2 linked regions of the Coturnix japonica genome follow. The protein of the gene in region 2 interacts with the protein of the main gene of each other region in a pairwise test. Links are inferred from orthologs where the notes say so. Each region holds a gene or a part of one and is shown on either strand. Other genes may lie near its edges.

Region 1 (6,431 bases), on a different chromosome or scaffold from region 2:
CATCCTTCAGCAGGGCGGCACAGGCAGATGCTATTTGGAAGGAGGATATGCAGACACAAAGCATTGAGCTTTTTAACACACTTTTTGACCCAGCGAGTAATTAATTTCTGTAAAGCATAATTTTAATGTTACGTTAATTAACCCTGAATTAGGACGTATTCTCTGACAGTGACTTTCTGTGGAAGCACCGATGACATCGGTGGGCCATTTCATGATTTATGTCCTTGCACTCAGCACCACAATCAACGTCTAAGAGAGGGAAAGACGGCCATTTACTCATGAATCTGTAAACACGGGAAGATCTTTAATTCATCTTCAGCATCCTTGCTTGAGTCCAGTGAAGGAAACCCAATGGTTGAGGAGGAATTGTGCTGCCCAGTGTGTGAGCATGGTGATACTGCAGCATGGTGCAACCAGCCCCTTCCTGCAGTGCTGGATGGCAGCTTGTGCTGTGAACGCTGCTTTTTGGACGAGACAAGAAACTGAAGCCTGATCATCTCCAGTCATTAAAAATCTCCTCGCGCTATTTGCAGGAGTATGGATTTCAAGTCTTGGGCCAATTCCATTTTGGGTAATTACACTCTGCTTACCTATATATTTTCTCTGCAATTCTAAATGGATACAATATTTTCCAATTAGTGCCTTAAACAGTTCTGCATTGTAATCGGGCACTATTAAAAAGCTGACACGTTCCGACCAAGAAATGGCTGCATCCTTGCAGCATCGTATTCCCTATCACAGGGTGGCAGGGACCCTCTCTACAAGAGCACTCCACCTGATGTGGAAGTAAGAAGTAGAATCTCAGTGTACTCACTACATAACAAAAAGCATTGCTAAGAAACTTAAGTTTAAAACTATCACAGAATCATAGAATGGCCTGAGTTGAAAAGGACCTCAATGCTCATATAGTTTAAACCCCACCGCTGTGTGTAGGGTGGTCAACCACTACACCAGGCTGCCCAAAGCCACATCCAGCTCATGACTGCTTGCATCGAAGCAGGCAAACTAAAATCTGTAGTCCTGGTTATATGTATGTTAAGACAGCTAAATAGCTACAAAGTCTACCTGTTTCCCAGGTCTTCCTTAAAAAAACAGTAACAATTTAATGATAAACAAATTGAACGCACAATCTACAACTCTCCGCACAGCTTGGCTATCACCTATACAGGTTGAAATCAGCCTGCACAGCTGTTACTTTACATCAACATGTGTCTGCTTCTCTAAATAACACAGCAGAAGCATTAAGAGCCACAGATTGAGCTGTCCCAAAGCACTTCCCGTATGACTATTTCATTAGGCAGTGAAAGGCTCAGACCAAGGCGAATAATTTTGCATGGGAAAGCACTGCAGCAGTAGCCTTGCCCAGTGCAATCAGACAGCAGGGTACTCTCTCCGTGCAATTCAAACACACAACAGTTGTTGCAGAAGTTACTTGAGAAGATGCATTTCCCCTGCCTCTGAAGTATTTAATAAAAACAGCATAAAAATAGCCCCGGTGCACTAACCCTGCCTCTTAAATCTTCCGTGCTTTGCTTGGGTAACCGCTGCCAGCTTGGCCGGCTTCTGCAGCAGTTTCTCAAGCCAACAGCATATCAATTTGCTCAGCTCCAAGTCACAGTGTGTTCACAAACAAAGCACAGGACAGGGATTTGTCTCAGCTAGACCCAACCTCAGCAGACAAACGGATGGGAATGAATTTCACATCAATTAGCCAGTGCAGAGAAAGAGGAGAACAAAGCCAACCTCAATGGAAACGCCACAGCAGCAAGCTCTACTTCTAGGTACAACGTTTGCAGTTGTAAAGTCTGTACACCAACGACAGCCAATCTAACCTGTAGCAAGTGTTTTATTACTGGTAATTAAGACAAGGTACATTCATAATGGCTCCATCCCCTTCCTGCAATTGCAAAATCAGTGAAGGGGAGTGCAGTTGTTGCGGCTGTACAGGTGAACTTCAGCTCTGAGGTGGAAGCCAAGCACTTTCAGAGCCTTGAGACGTTGAGGGAAACCCCCCTGATGGCAGTAAGCATGCACACCCAGCAATGCTTCTCCAAATCCATATCCCACCTGTCCTTGCCTTGGCACTAGTTTGGCACTTGCAGTCTCAAAAGTTGGGGCTAAGTGAGCATCATTCCAGACACCTTTTATTAGCGAGTTTTGGTAAGGGTTTAAATACAGACAGATATTAGGAGGAAGTTTTTTGCACAGAGGGTGATGACGCACTGGAACAGGTTGCCCAAGGAGGCTGTGGATGCCCCATCCCTGCAGGCATTCAAGGCCAGGCTGGATGCGGCTCTGGGCAGCCTGGGCTGCTGGTTGGTGACCCTGCACATAGCAGGGGGTTGGAACTGGATGGTCATTGTGGTCCTTTTGAACCCAGGCTGTTCTATGATTCTATGATTGTTTATTGGGGCATCTCCAACAGTTACAACAAAAGCTCCACCTACAGTCACCCCGGATGCTGGCACAGATGATGGAAGCAACCCACCTATGCCCCTGAACAACTTCTGGTTAGTTAACAGCTGAAGAAATACTGCTCTCACAAAGGCAGCAAACAATCCATGCTGCTGCAGTGTGCCTGATGCCCTGCAGTGACTCCCCAGCCACAGTCCATCCCTTATTCCATTAGTCCTGCTGACACACGCAAGAGAAACTGGTTGTTTTAGACTGCACTACTTACTACTAAGTGAATGCAAGCTATTCTGTTGAACTCTGGGCAATTTAGATACAGTAAATGGAAGTGTGTACATGATTACTGTCATTAGATTCTTTGCTTAATTCTAAATTGAAGTTTATTATATCTGCACTGTTAGCAGGTATGCCAGCTTGACTGCTGTCCATGAAGATTTTCATTTCTTTCTTTAATCTAGGGGAGGAGACAGCTCGTGCTTCAGGAGTTGCCAAGGGCATCTCTGCCTAAAGCCTACAGACTCCTACTGCTCCTTCTGAAATCCTTTTGCTCCTTTTATTCTCATTTTCTCCCTTTGCTAACCAGACACAGTACAAATACATCGCTCGGAATAAAACCAAAGCACCTTAGAGCTGCAGGCAGGTCATTCCTGTTGCAGGAGCGGCTGTGCTGAGAGTCTTTACAGCTGAGCACGAGGCTGCTCGGTGCTCCAGCAGATTTTGTTCCATAACAAGTTAACTCTTTGTACAGACCCATGCTGCCATTTTATATTTATATGCGTTTAAATCAAAAGATCGACAGAGTGAGTTACGTTCAGAGGGCTGGGAAAGGCATCTTCTGGATATGGCAGGATGTATTTACACTGTAACACTAAAACAGTTAATAAAAATGACAAGATGATGTTTGCATACACTTCGCCCTACCAAAGGCTCGCTCTGGGTTATCTCCTTCCTAAAACAGGTTCTAAAACTTCAATCAACTTGCACGATATTGGAAAATGAGATGCCCTCCAGACTCTGAAGGATGCATTTGGATACTAAACAGCTCTGGCGATGGGTTCAGCCCCCTCAAAACAGCATCGAACAAATATTTCTCTCAGATTTCTCTTCTAGCTTCTCTAATTTATTTATTTATTTAACCAATTAAAATCAAGTCTAACGAAGCCAGCTCCTGCTAAAAAAGGGGCTCCTATTTCTCTGAGCGCTTGCTACCTATACCTATGAGGGAATTCTGCACCATCTTTCTATTGACTTTCCACAGGTAGCCAGGACTGCAGAGGTGTCAGATGTTTGCTGCTGCAGCTCCATGCTCTGCGAGTGCCTGCTGGCTCTGAAACAGGCCCTCTCACACTATGGACACATGGGTATATTTCTCAAAGAGGATGTCACTCCACACCTTTCAGATCTGGCTCCAAATGTTTACAAGGAGAGAACAACAATATTTCAGCCACTGTTCACATATATTCTTTAAACAATTTCTTTGGCTGAAAACATGAACATTCGCTGCTAAGACTCAAAAGAAGGAATCAGCTTCTGAACCTTGCAAAGCATGAAAACATCTCATCAATGGAAATGAAGCAAAGATCACATGATGTTATTGTGCACTGATTACAAGCGTGTGATCTCAAAAATAGGATTTTATTAATGAAAGGCTTCTGGCCGTGTTGGGAATGACTGCCCTGGGCACTCACTTCTGCAACCTGTGGCTGACAGAAGGACAAATGGAGCTGAGTAACAGCCCTGCTGCAGTGACTGCATGGCATATGACAGTTTCAGTTCATTGAATTCACAATGCAGAATTCCAGCTCTGATCGTGAACACCTTCCCTCTCATCTGAAAATTAATTCACACGAATTCCTGATTAATAATAAAAGACCCTGCCATCAGCATTCAGAGCCCCAGCCGGGGCTGTCATGGCTCAGAGGGCAGAAATCTGCTTAGAGCTACAGGAGAACCCAACTGAATTTGTGGCGTCTCAGTCTATGAATGTGTAAGCACTTCATCTGTTCACCAAAACACAATGTGCTGGAAAGCAGCGGGCAAAAGTAGCTGTACGTACTATTGACCAAGAGCAGGGCTAGGTGGCAGTATGCAAGCACTGAAACCAGAGCAATAAAGCTGCTACATCTCCCGAATGAGAAACTGTCCACTTCACATGTCTTTTTTTACCAAGAAAATCACCAGACCATTCGCGTGCATTTGTCTTTTTCTTCAGGTTTCTGGCAGTATCTCTATTGTTTCCCTGTAGGAGAAATGGTGCTTCAATCCTGAAACGATGCCCCTAGAAAGGGGGGTATTCAGCACATCATTCTGCAAGTTGCAGCTCTTCTTACTGAGAATAACAGGAAGTTTCTGACATGCTCCAAAATCACAGTACATCCACACTGCTGGGAATCCAGTGGAAAGCTGCTCTTTTCGAACACATTACACTCATCTCCACGATGAAGTGTTGGTCCAACTCCTGCAGTACTTTATAACAAGTCTAATCAGAAAATTCTGGGAAGGTTTAATACTGTTAACAAACTAAACAATTAAAAGACTGATTTTCTGTATCTTTTTTACCCATACCTCCTCATCTGCGACATTCACGTCCACTTTTTTCGACTGAATGGCTTTGGTTACATAGTCAATGTTGTTTTCTCTGCAGTAATCAAAAATGTTCTTGTCCTCTTCTCTATTCAGGAAACAAAAGCAAAAGAAATAGCACATTACTGCGCCGCACAAAGGCCACGTGCATTCTTACGCTCTAACATTGCTACAAACATTTCAATAGCACCACTGGAGTGGAACAGGCTCCTGGGATGATGCATGCAGAACAGTATGTTTTTCCCCCATGTAGGACTCAGAAATTCCTGCTTCCTAGAAACAAAGCTTGTTTTTAACAACACTATGCCAGGGCAGAAGTCCTACTCCTGTCAGCTCTCACAAGAAGCTTATAAAGTTGCCCAACACAAAACCCGCTCAGTCCTGGTATATATCACTGCAGTCTGCCAGAGGATAAAGGGCTAAAGCTCTGCTTCTCCCTGCCACGCAAACAAACTTGTAACTGCCATCTCCTTGACTCAGACCAAAGGCCTTTTCAATGCCATATATCTCATCGGGCACTAATGGAGGTTTGGAGGAAAGAGCAGAAGAAACAGGACAAGCGCAAAGCAGCCGCCCCTTGGTTAGATCCTCAGCTTCTGAAACTCGGTAGCTTAAGGATTTCTGTAGCTGTATCCAGATGAAGATATTTCTCACATTCTTCCAGACTCTTTTTCAAACACTTTTCTACTTTTTAACCCATCTGTACTCCTAGCCTTGTTAAAGGAAAGCTCTACAGCTCCACATTCTGGGCATGAAGGGGTGAAAAGTGAACAGATACTTTCTTTTGGTGATTTTAAAACAGATGACCTTATTGGGTACCCTTAGGTAATCTGTGCTTATTCACTTACATCACACCACCTCCAGACCTCTCACATGACCACACAAGTCACCTTCTCTCCAGATGCTCCTTTCAAACTATGTTGTTGTCTCCTCGGTCATAAACTCCTACTTTTGCTGATGTTCCCCTTTCATCCCCTTCTTCAATCTCTCTCCTTACTTTCTGAGATGGGTTGACCCAAATCTGTATTACATACGCAGGTGCACAGATTTATACAGTGGGGTAAAAGTATCTTCATTCAGCTCTCCATCCTTTTCCTTATGGTTCTGAGCACTTGCTTCACCAATTGCCCAGAAGTGCTGTAGATCCAGCAAATGGTATGAAGCTCTTTTGTGTCTTACGAATCCATATGTAGGTCTTAACTTCATTTGAAATTGTTTGCTTCACTGGTAATAATAAGTTTTAGCATGTCTGAAGCCAGAATACTGTTTCTAGCTCCAGAAGAAGCTATTGTTGCATATGGTAACCTTTGAATCACGGCCTGAACCACTGATTGAGCACCTGGGGAGGGGACTGGCCAGCCCTGGGAGCACAGGTGAAAGCAATTCAGCTGCATGACCAGAAAGAGCGGAGCCTGGCTGCACCACTCTTAGACCTT
Region 2 (6,431 bases):
CATTATTCCTCTGCAATTCCACGTGCAGGTGGAATTCTCATTGTAGTTATGCTTGCTCAGAATGCTCAGAACTAAGGGTTTAAGGAGCTCAGTTTAGAAGTGCTGAGCCTTGGATTTCTTGTTTTTCATCTAACTTTCTATAAGGATTTTTCCACTTTTAAGTGGAAGATTAATTTATTTCATATCTGCTTCTATAACATAAAGTTGCCTTAAGTTATGAGAGTTGGCACTAGTGGAAAAATGGTGAACTTCTGTATGTGATGCAGTGCAGTAAGCTGCCTACTGTAAAATCTGGTACCTAATAGAAGGCAGATCCAACGTAACTAAGGTTGTAAAGTGGATACTTACAGCCACAGTGTAACTGAAATATTGTGCCATACTGATCTTAAGTAATGTTTTATAGAGTATGTACAAGGCATAACTTTGAATAACACTATGTAGTGTCTTTAGGTTGTTAGATATCTAAGCTGATCTGTTTTTTGCTGTTTACTTAATTTACTTTTGGGAGAGGAATATAATAAGCACTTACTGTGGTACTGGTATCCTGGCCTAACCCTGCAGTTACATGTGGTACCAACACTCATTATTCGCAGTTAAATGCAAACACTACTCAAAATTGCTAAGTATTATGAGAAACTGCTTGTCTCCTTCCCACCTATCCTTCCCTCCTCCCGCTGCTGAAGATAATATCAGAAGTGACTGTAGTAAGAAGAGCTTATGAAAGAATACAAAAGAATAAAGTAAATGCACACATTTGTACAGTGGTCTAAAGTGAAGAGTGTATCTGAAGTAATGGTACCCTCTTCTCTTTGTCTCCACATGCAGAATCCAGCCATTCCAATGCAGAAGCTTCAAGATATCCAGAGAGCAATGGAGCTGCTCTCTGCATGCCAAGGTCCAGCAAAGAACATTGATGAGGCTACCAAACGTAAATACCAGTTTTGGGATACACAACCTGTACCGAAACTTAGTAAGTTGAATTGGGCTTGGGCGTGTGATCTGGAAAGAATGTACACCAGTTGTGTGGCTTTAAGTCGGACTAAATGTGGTGGAGTTCCTTAATCTTTTGTGTTGTTTATATGGAATTATTGATATTCTGTAGGTGAGTCATTGCCCTTCAAACTAATATGCAACAAAGCACAGTGCTAATGAATCTCATTCTGATGTTCTCTACAAAACTCCTGTTGCAGTAACATTCCTTTGTATATTTTAGGTCTGAACCCTTAATCGACAAAACATAAAGAGAACATTTCAGGGCAAATAAAATCTATCAAGTGATGATGGGAATAAACTTTTGTTCTATTTATTTTCCCTGTTTTTTGGTGTTTTGGTTTTTTGGGGGGTGGGAAGGTTGGGTGGGAGGGATCAACTTGCAGTCACAGTGATGGTGACTCTCCTGGTGCAGGCTGCAGTGTTTCCATGCAGCTTTAAGTGGTTAATGACACTTCCCTCATGCCTGAACTCTTCCATGGCTCTTCGTTCACCTGTTTCTTCCACAGAGTGCACTACCTTGGAATCACATGTTCTGAGTCCCTTTTGGAGAAGACAGTTGCTGACTCTTATGTTGCTTTTTTTGTGTTTTTTTTTCTGACTTATTTCTGTGTCATCTTCTCCTTTCAATTTTTTTTTTCAAGTCAAGCTGTTCTAGCTCTGTTGTGCCAAAGAAACCTGGGGACCCCACAAGTAAAGCAGGAGCTGCCATTGTTCTGTTCTGGAAGTTTGCCTCCATGGCATTGGAGGCTGGTACAGAATAGGCAGAAATCAGTTATAGTGTAAAGCACAGGAACACTTTTCTCCATCTGTCTGATGGCCGGTGTTTCACATCAGTGCAGGCCTCTAGCTCAGTCTTCAGTGATCGTGTTTCCCCTGATTTCCTTGCATGGAGAAGTCCAGAGCAAAGTGCTCCCCACTCTGCAGATGGATTGTTAGGGCTGTTGAGAAGAACTACACTGTGCGGAGTTGGCTGGCAGAGATTCTGTTCAGCAGTTTTTCTGAATTGCTTCTTGAGTCTGTTGTTTAATTTTATTATCTTTTTTAGCTTAATCTGCTGGATGAACGTAAAGGGAAGTCTTCACTGTTTGATACACAGGTTATGTTCACTTGGAAAACAAATGTGTTGATTCAAGAAGTAGGTGTAGGAATCTTTGCATTAAATTAACTTCAGAATCCATCTGCCTTATAATTAACGCTGTTAGCAAGAGACCTGTTACCGTAAAATAGTAGGTCATTTGCTGTATATTGAGACAGCTGATACTGCCAAAATTTATGTAAAGATGCTGGTAGTTCTGACCTTCCAAATGGGGCAGTGAGATGTAACTACTTGTCAGGAGTGGGCATCGTTTGGGAAAAGTACATGCCATGTTTGGCAGGTGCCACTCCATGGAAGAGGAGCAATTTCTGTTTATAGCCAGTTGTTATATACTGATGAACTAGAGCTGTGCATCAGGATAGGGGAAATACTCTTTCATGTAGGATTTTAAGACACATTTCCTATTTTTCTGGCATTCCTTACAAGCCCTGGTTTTGCAATACTGCTGGTCCTTAGGAGTACTGCTGAGCTCAGACCTGTTCAAGGCAGTTGTAAACAGGAGCCGTCGCTCATTAGCTGTAGGAACATATTTCTCATAATGAAACCACGGATTTCATAGCTGGCCAAGCGCCATGCATGTGCTGATAAACTGCTGTCCCGTATTATGAAATACTGGATGGAGTAGTTGTGTGGCTGGCTGAACATACTGTGATGAAGTAGTAGTTGGTCTGAATGCAGTCTGTAAGAACTGAGATGTTCTTGAGAATTAATGGGGAAGTCAGCAGTGTAACTGTACTCTTTTTTTCTCTTCTTTTCTCCCTTGCTTTTTCTTCCTTCTAAAGATGAAGTCATAACGTCACACGGTGCAATTGAGCCAGATAAGGACAATGTCCGCCTAGAGCCATATTCTTTGCCACAAGGTTTTATGTGGGACACGTTGGATCTTAGCAATGCTGAAGTTGTAAGTAAAACATTTATTACACGTACCTAAAATCCCTGAAATATATTCTGCTTGATGTGTGTGGATAAACCTTTTCTTTTTCTTTGTGTTTTGTTTTTTGTTTTCAGCTGAAGGAGTTATACACACTGTTAAATGAGAATTATGTAGAAGATGATGATAATATGTTTAGGTTTGATTATTCCCCTGAATTTCTTCTGTGGTGAGTGGCAAGTGCTACATTCTGTTCTGGCTGGAGTGCAAAGAAGGGTGTTTTTATTACATCTTCTTAGGCAGTAATTTGTAATTATTTCTGTCATCGTTTCTAGGGCTCTGCGTCCTCCGGGCTGGTTACCGCAGTGGCACTGTGGGGTTAGAGTGTCTTCAAACAAAAAGCTGGTAGGATTCATAAGTGCCATCCCTGCAAACATTCGTGTTTATGACAGGTAAAACACAGCGTTACTTTTACATCTGTACAACATAATATTTTCAAGTGGCATGTTACAAATCTTAAAACTGGCATCCATTACAATGGAGAAATTACAGAGAGGCTCATTAACAGTAGGGAATGCAGCACTGCAAACAGCTTAGACGCTGCTTTGCATTTCATACAGTTTTCCACTCGTGTCACAATGTCAGATTAATCTTTGTTGCAGATGTAATTTGACACGGGCTGATTTATTTTTGCATCAGATTCTTCTGTTACAACATGGAAAACTAATGTTATATAATAGAGAATATGCAGCTTGCACTGCTTGTTTTTGTCAATAGTTCGGGGTTTTTTAAAATTCATTTTCTCACTATAATGTCCTTTTAGTGTGAAGAAGATGGTAGAAATCAATTTTCTGTGTGTTCATAAGAAACTGAGATCTAAACGGGTGGCACCTGTACTGATCCGGGAAATAACCAGAAGAGTAAACCTGGAGGGGATCTTTCAGGCTGTTTACACAGCAGGAGTGGTGCTGCCAAAGCCTGTGGCCACTTGCAGGTAACCTAGGTGATGTTCATAATAGCATTGGTTCCTGTAGCAGTCATTTGAAGTGCATGCTGTGTAATTGGCTATTGTGGTAATTTTATGCTGGTAGGTAATTGCGTTGCCATGCTGCTTTCTCACTCTCCCTTCCCAAAAAGACAGGGAGAGGAAATATGATGGAAAAAAGCACGTGGGTCGAGATAAAGACTGGGAGATCTCTTAACAGTTACTCCGACGGACAAAAGAGATTCAACATAAGGAGACTAATATAATTTTTATATATAACTGCACACCAACTCTCCCTCATCCATCCATCCATCCATCCATCCATCCATCCATCCATCCTTCTCTACTTCTTCCCCCAGAGAAGTGCAGGGGAGCATGGGATGAAATTTAAAACTGAGTTTGTTTATTGTACCTTGAATAGATTAATCAGGTTTTTGTTGAGCTTCTGGTGAAAGCCATGCTAGCAATGGCAGCATTGTATACCTGTGTTTTTTCAAGTGGCCTGTTTTCCTGCTGGGACGTTTCCCTGTTGACCTGGTTGGTTGCCAAAGATGGCAGAGCATTTCTGGGAATTGTGTGATCTGCTTTTCTCAATGCTTTCGTCTTTTCTGGAGAAAGGAATTTAATGAAGACGGGAGAACTATCACATGAAAATAGTTGTATGTTGTGAAGTATGATTTCATTTGCTTGGAGTGGATTTTATTTCTGCTGGGAAAAGTCCTGTGTCAGTGATATCCGTCTGAGGACAGAATACTCATGTATGAGCTATTTGGTTTAAATTTCACTTGTACGTATCAACACCAAAGATTCTGTAACCTTTTGTAGGTGAGGATGGCAAGAAAGCCACGCTGTGTTAGAGTAACCAGGGATGTTGTGTGCACTATGGGCTGCACAGAGGAGTCCCTTCACCAGACTGCTCAGACACTGAGTAAAGAGGGACCTCTGTTCTTAAGCTTTGACAAGTAATCAATAAAATAAATGTTACCTTGTAAGTAAGAAAAGATTGGTTGCGATATGGCAGGTAGTAGAATGTTTAGCCCTGGGGTTACTCATTCCTTAAGGAGATTAGACTCAAAATGCGGTGATTGCTGGCTTGTTTAACAGCTACTGCTTAGGTATAGCTTTTCCTTCTTTGTTGTTTTTTTGTTTGTATGTTTGTTGTTCAAGCCTCCTACAGACATCAGGTCAGTGCAGGCTGGCTAGGAAATAAATAAATAAATAAATAAAGCAGGAAATTAGAGAAATGGATACAGGTAAAGCTGACACTTAAAACACCATCTAATCTCATGAATTTCATTTCCAGGTATTGGCATCGATCACTGAATCCCAGAAAACTGGTGGAGGTGAAGTTTTCACATTTGAGTAGAAACATGACTCTACAAAGAACAATGAAGCTCTACAGACTTCCTGATGTAAGCAGTGTGTCTTCTAGAGAATCCCCACAGCTATTGGGAGGCCCAAAATAGCCTTCCATCTGTCTCTGACAGCTCAGGCTTTTGTGCATGTAGAGCACAGAAAAACAGAATCTTTTCTACCAAGAAGAAATAAGGGTCTGTGCTAAACAGAAGGGACTATTCCTAGAGGTGGAGGTTTGTGTGTGGAGAAAATACAAATGTGGGCTCAAAAAAAAAAAAGTAAAAGCACAAAGATGCCCTAGCTTCATAAACACGTGTCACTGAGTTGAAGATCCATAAGATTATTCTAAGTGTAATTAATCTGATCAAAATTGCTGGAGTAGAAAAGTAACAGCTAATATCATAACATTCTCAGGAAAGTCCTCTAGAAAGTTGGTCGAGCACAGTGGGATGGGTTGGTTCTCCTCCAAGTCTCAGCTGCTTCTTGTCTGTCAGAGAAAGTTGTTCTTCTGCAGTGAGCTGGCTCAGCAAAAGCTGCCTTGAACACTGTGTACAGTTAATAGCACGGTGTGGCCAAGGAAAAAAAAAAGCATTCTGGCATAGCTAGGTTAGTTAAAAATATTTTTTCCATATTTCTCCTAATAGGCAGGCTGGCAAAAAGCCTTCAGTTGCATTTCCTTGACAGGGGAAGTCACTGTGAGTAGTCTGAGATGAACTATTAAAAAATCTCATTGCTGTAATAACCTATAGAAGCTGGCCTAAGCTGTATGATTGAAAGCAATGTATTTGCTTGCAAAAGCTACCTTTCTATTTGGAGGGATTTGCAGACTGTCCTCTGGACCAGTGCCATATCAAGTAAACCTTTTTGATGTAAACAAACCCTCCCTTTGGTTTTTTGTTTGTTTTTTTTTTTTTTTAAAGTACTTTTTCATACTTATAATGTACTTTGTAATGATTTATCCGCCTTTGGAGAAATGTTTCTCCAATTTATTTATAATATATTTAGCCTGGTGCTGCAGGCTCTGTTGTTACTGGTCCACGTGAGTAACACACTGAGCACTCCTCAGTATGAAGCACGTGCCATGGCTTGATCTCAGCTCCTGCTGCTGTCAGTGGGACTCATTTCCTGTG

Evidence for each region.
Region 1: the proteins of NMT2 (region 2) and ACBD6 interact in binary tests that used the Homo sapiens proteins (3 or more experiments, as listed by UniProt). The link is inferred for Coturnix japonica from reciprocal best matches to the Homo sapiens genes NMT2 and ACBD6.

What each region holds. Positions count from the first base shown.
Region 1 is NC_029523.1:5,773,774-5,780,204, forward strand, and holds part of ACBD6 (acyl-CoA-binding domain-containing protein 6), read right to left. Parts: intron 5,084-6,431; coding exon 4,978-5,083; intron 1-4,977. UniProt on the Homo sapiens protein: Binds long-chain acyl-coenzyme A molecules with a strong preference for unsaturated C18:1-CoA, lower affinity for unsaturated C20:4-CoA, and very weak affinity for saturated C16:0-CoA. Does not bind fatty acids. Plays a role in protein N-myristoylation.
Region 2 is NC_029517.1:18,753,831-18,760,261, forward strand, and holds part of NMT2 (glycylpeptide N-tetradecanoyltransferase 2), read left to right. Parts: intron 1-825; coding exon 826-970; intron 971-2,871; coding exon 2,872-2,990; intron 2,991-3,097; coding exon 3,098-3,189; intron 3,190-3,295; coding exon 3,296-3,412; intron 3,413-3,783; coding exon 3,784-3,954; intron 3,955-5,248; coding exon 5,249-5,357; intron 5,358-6,431.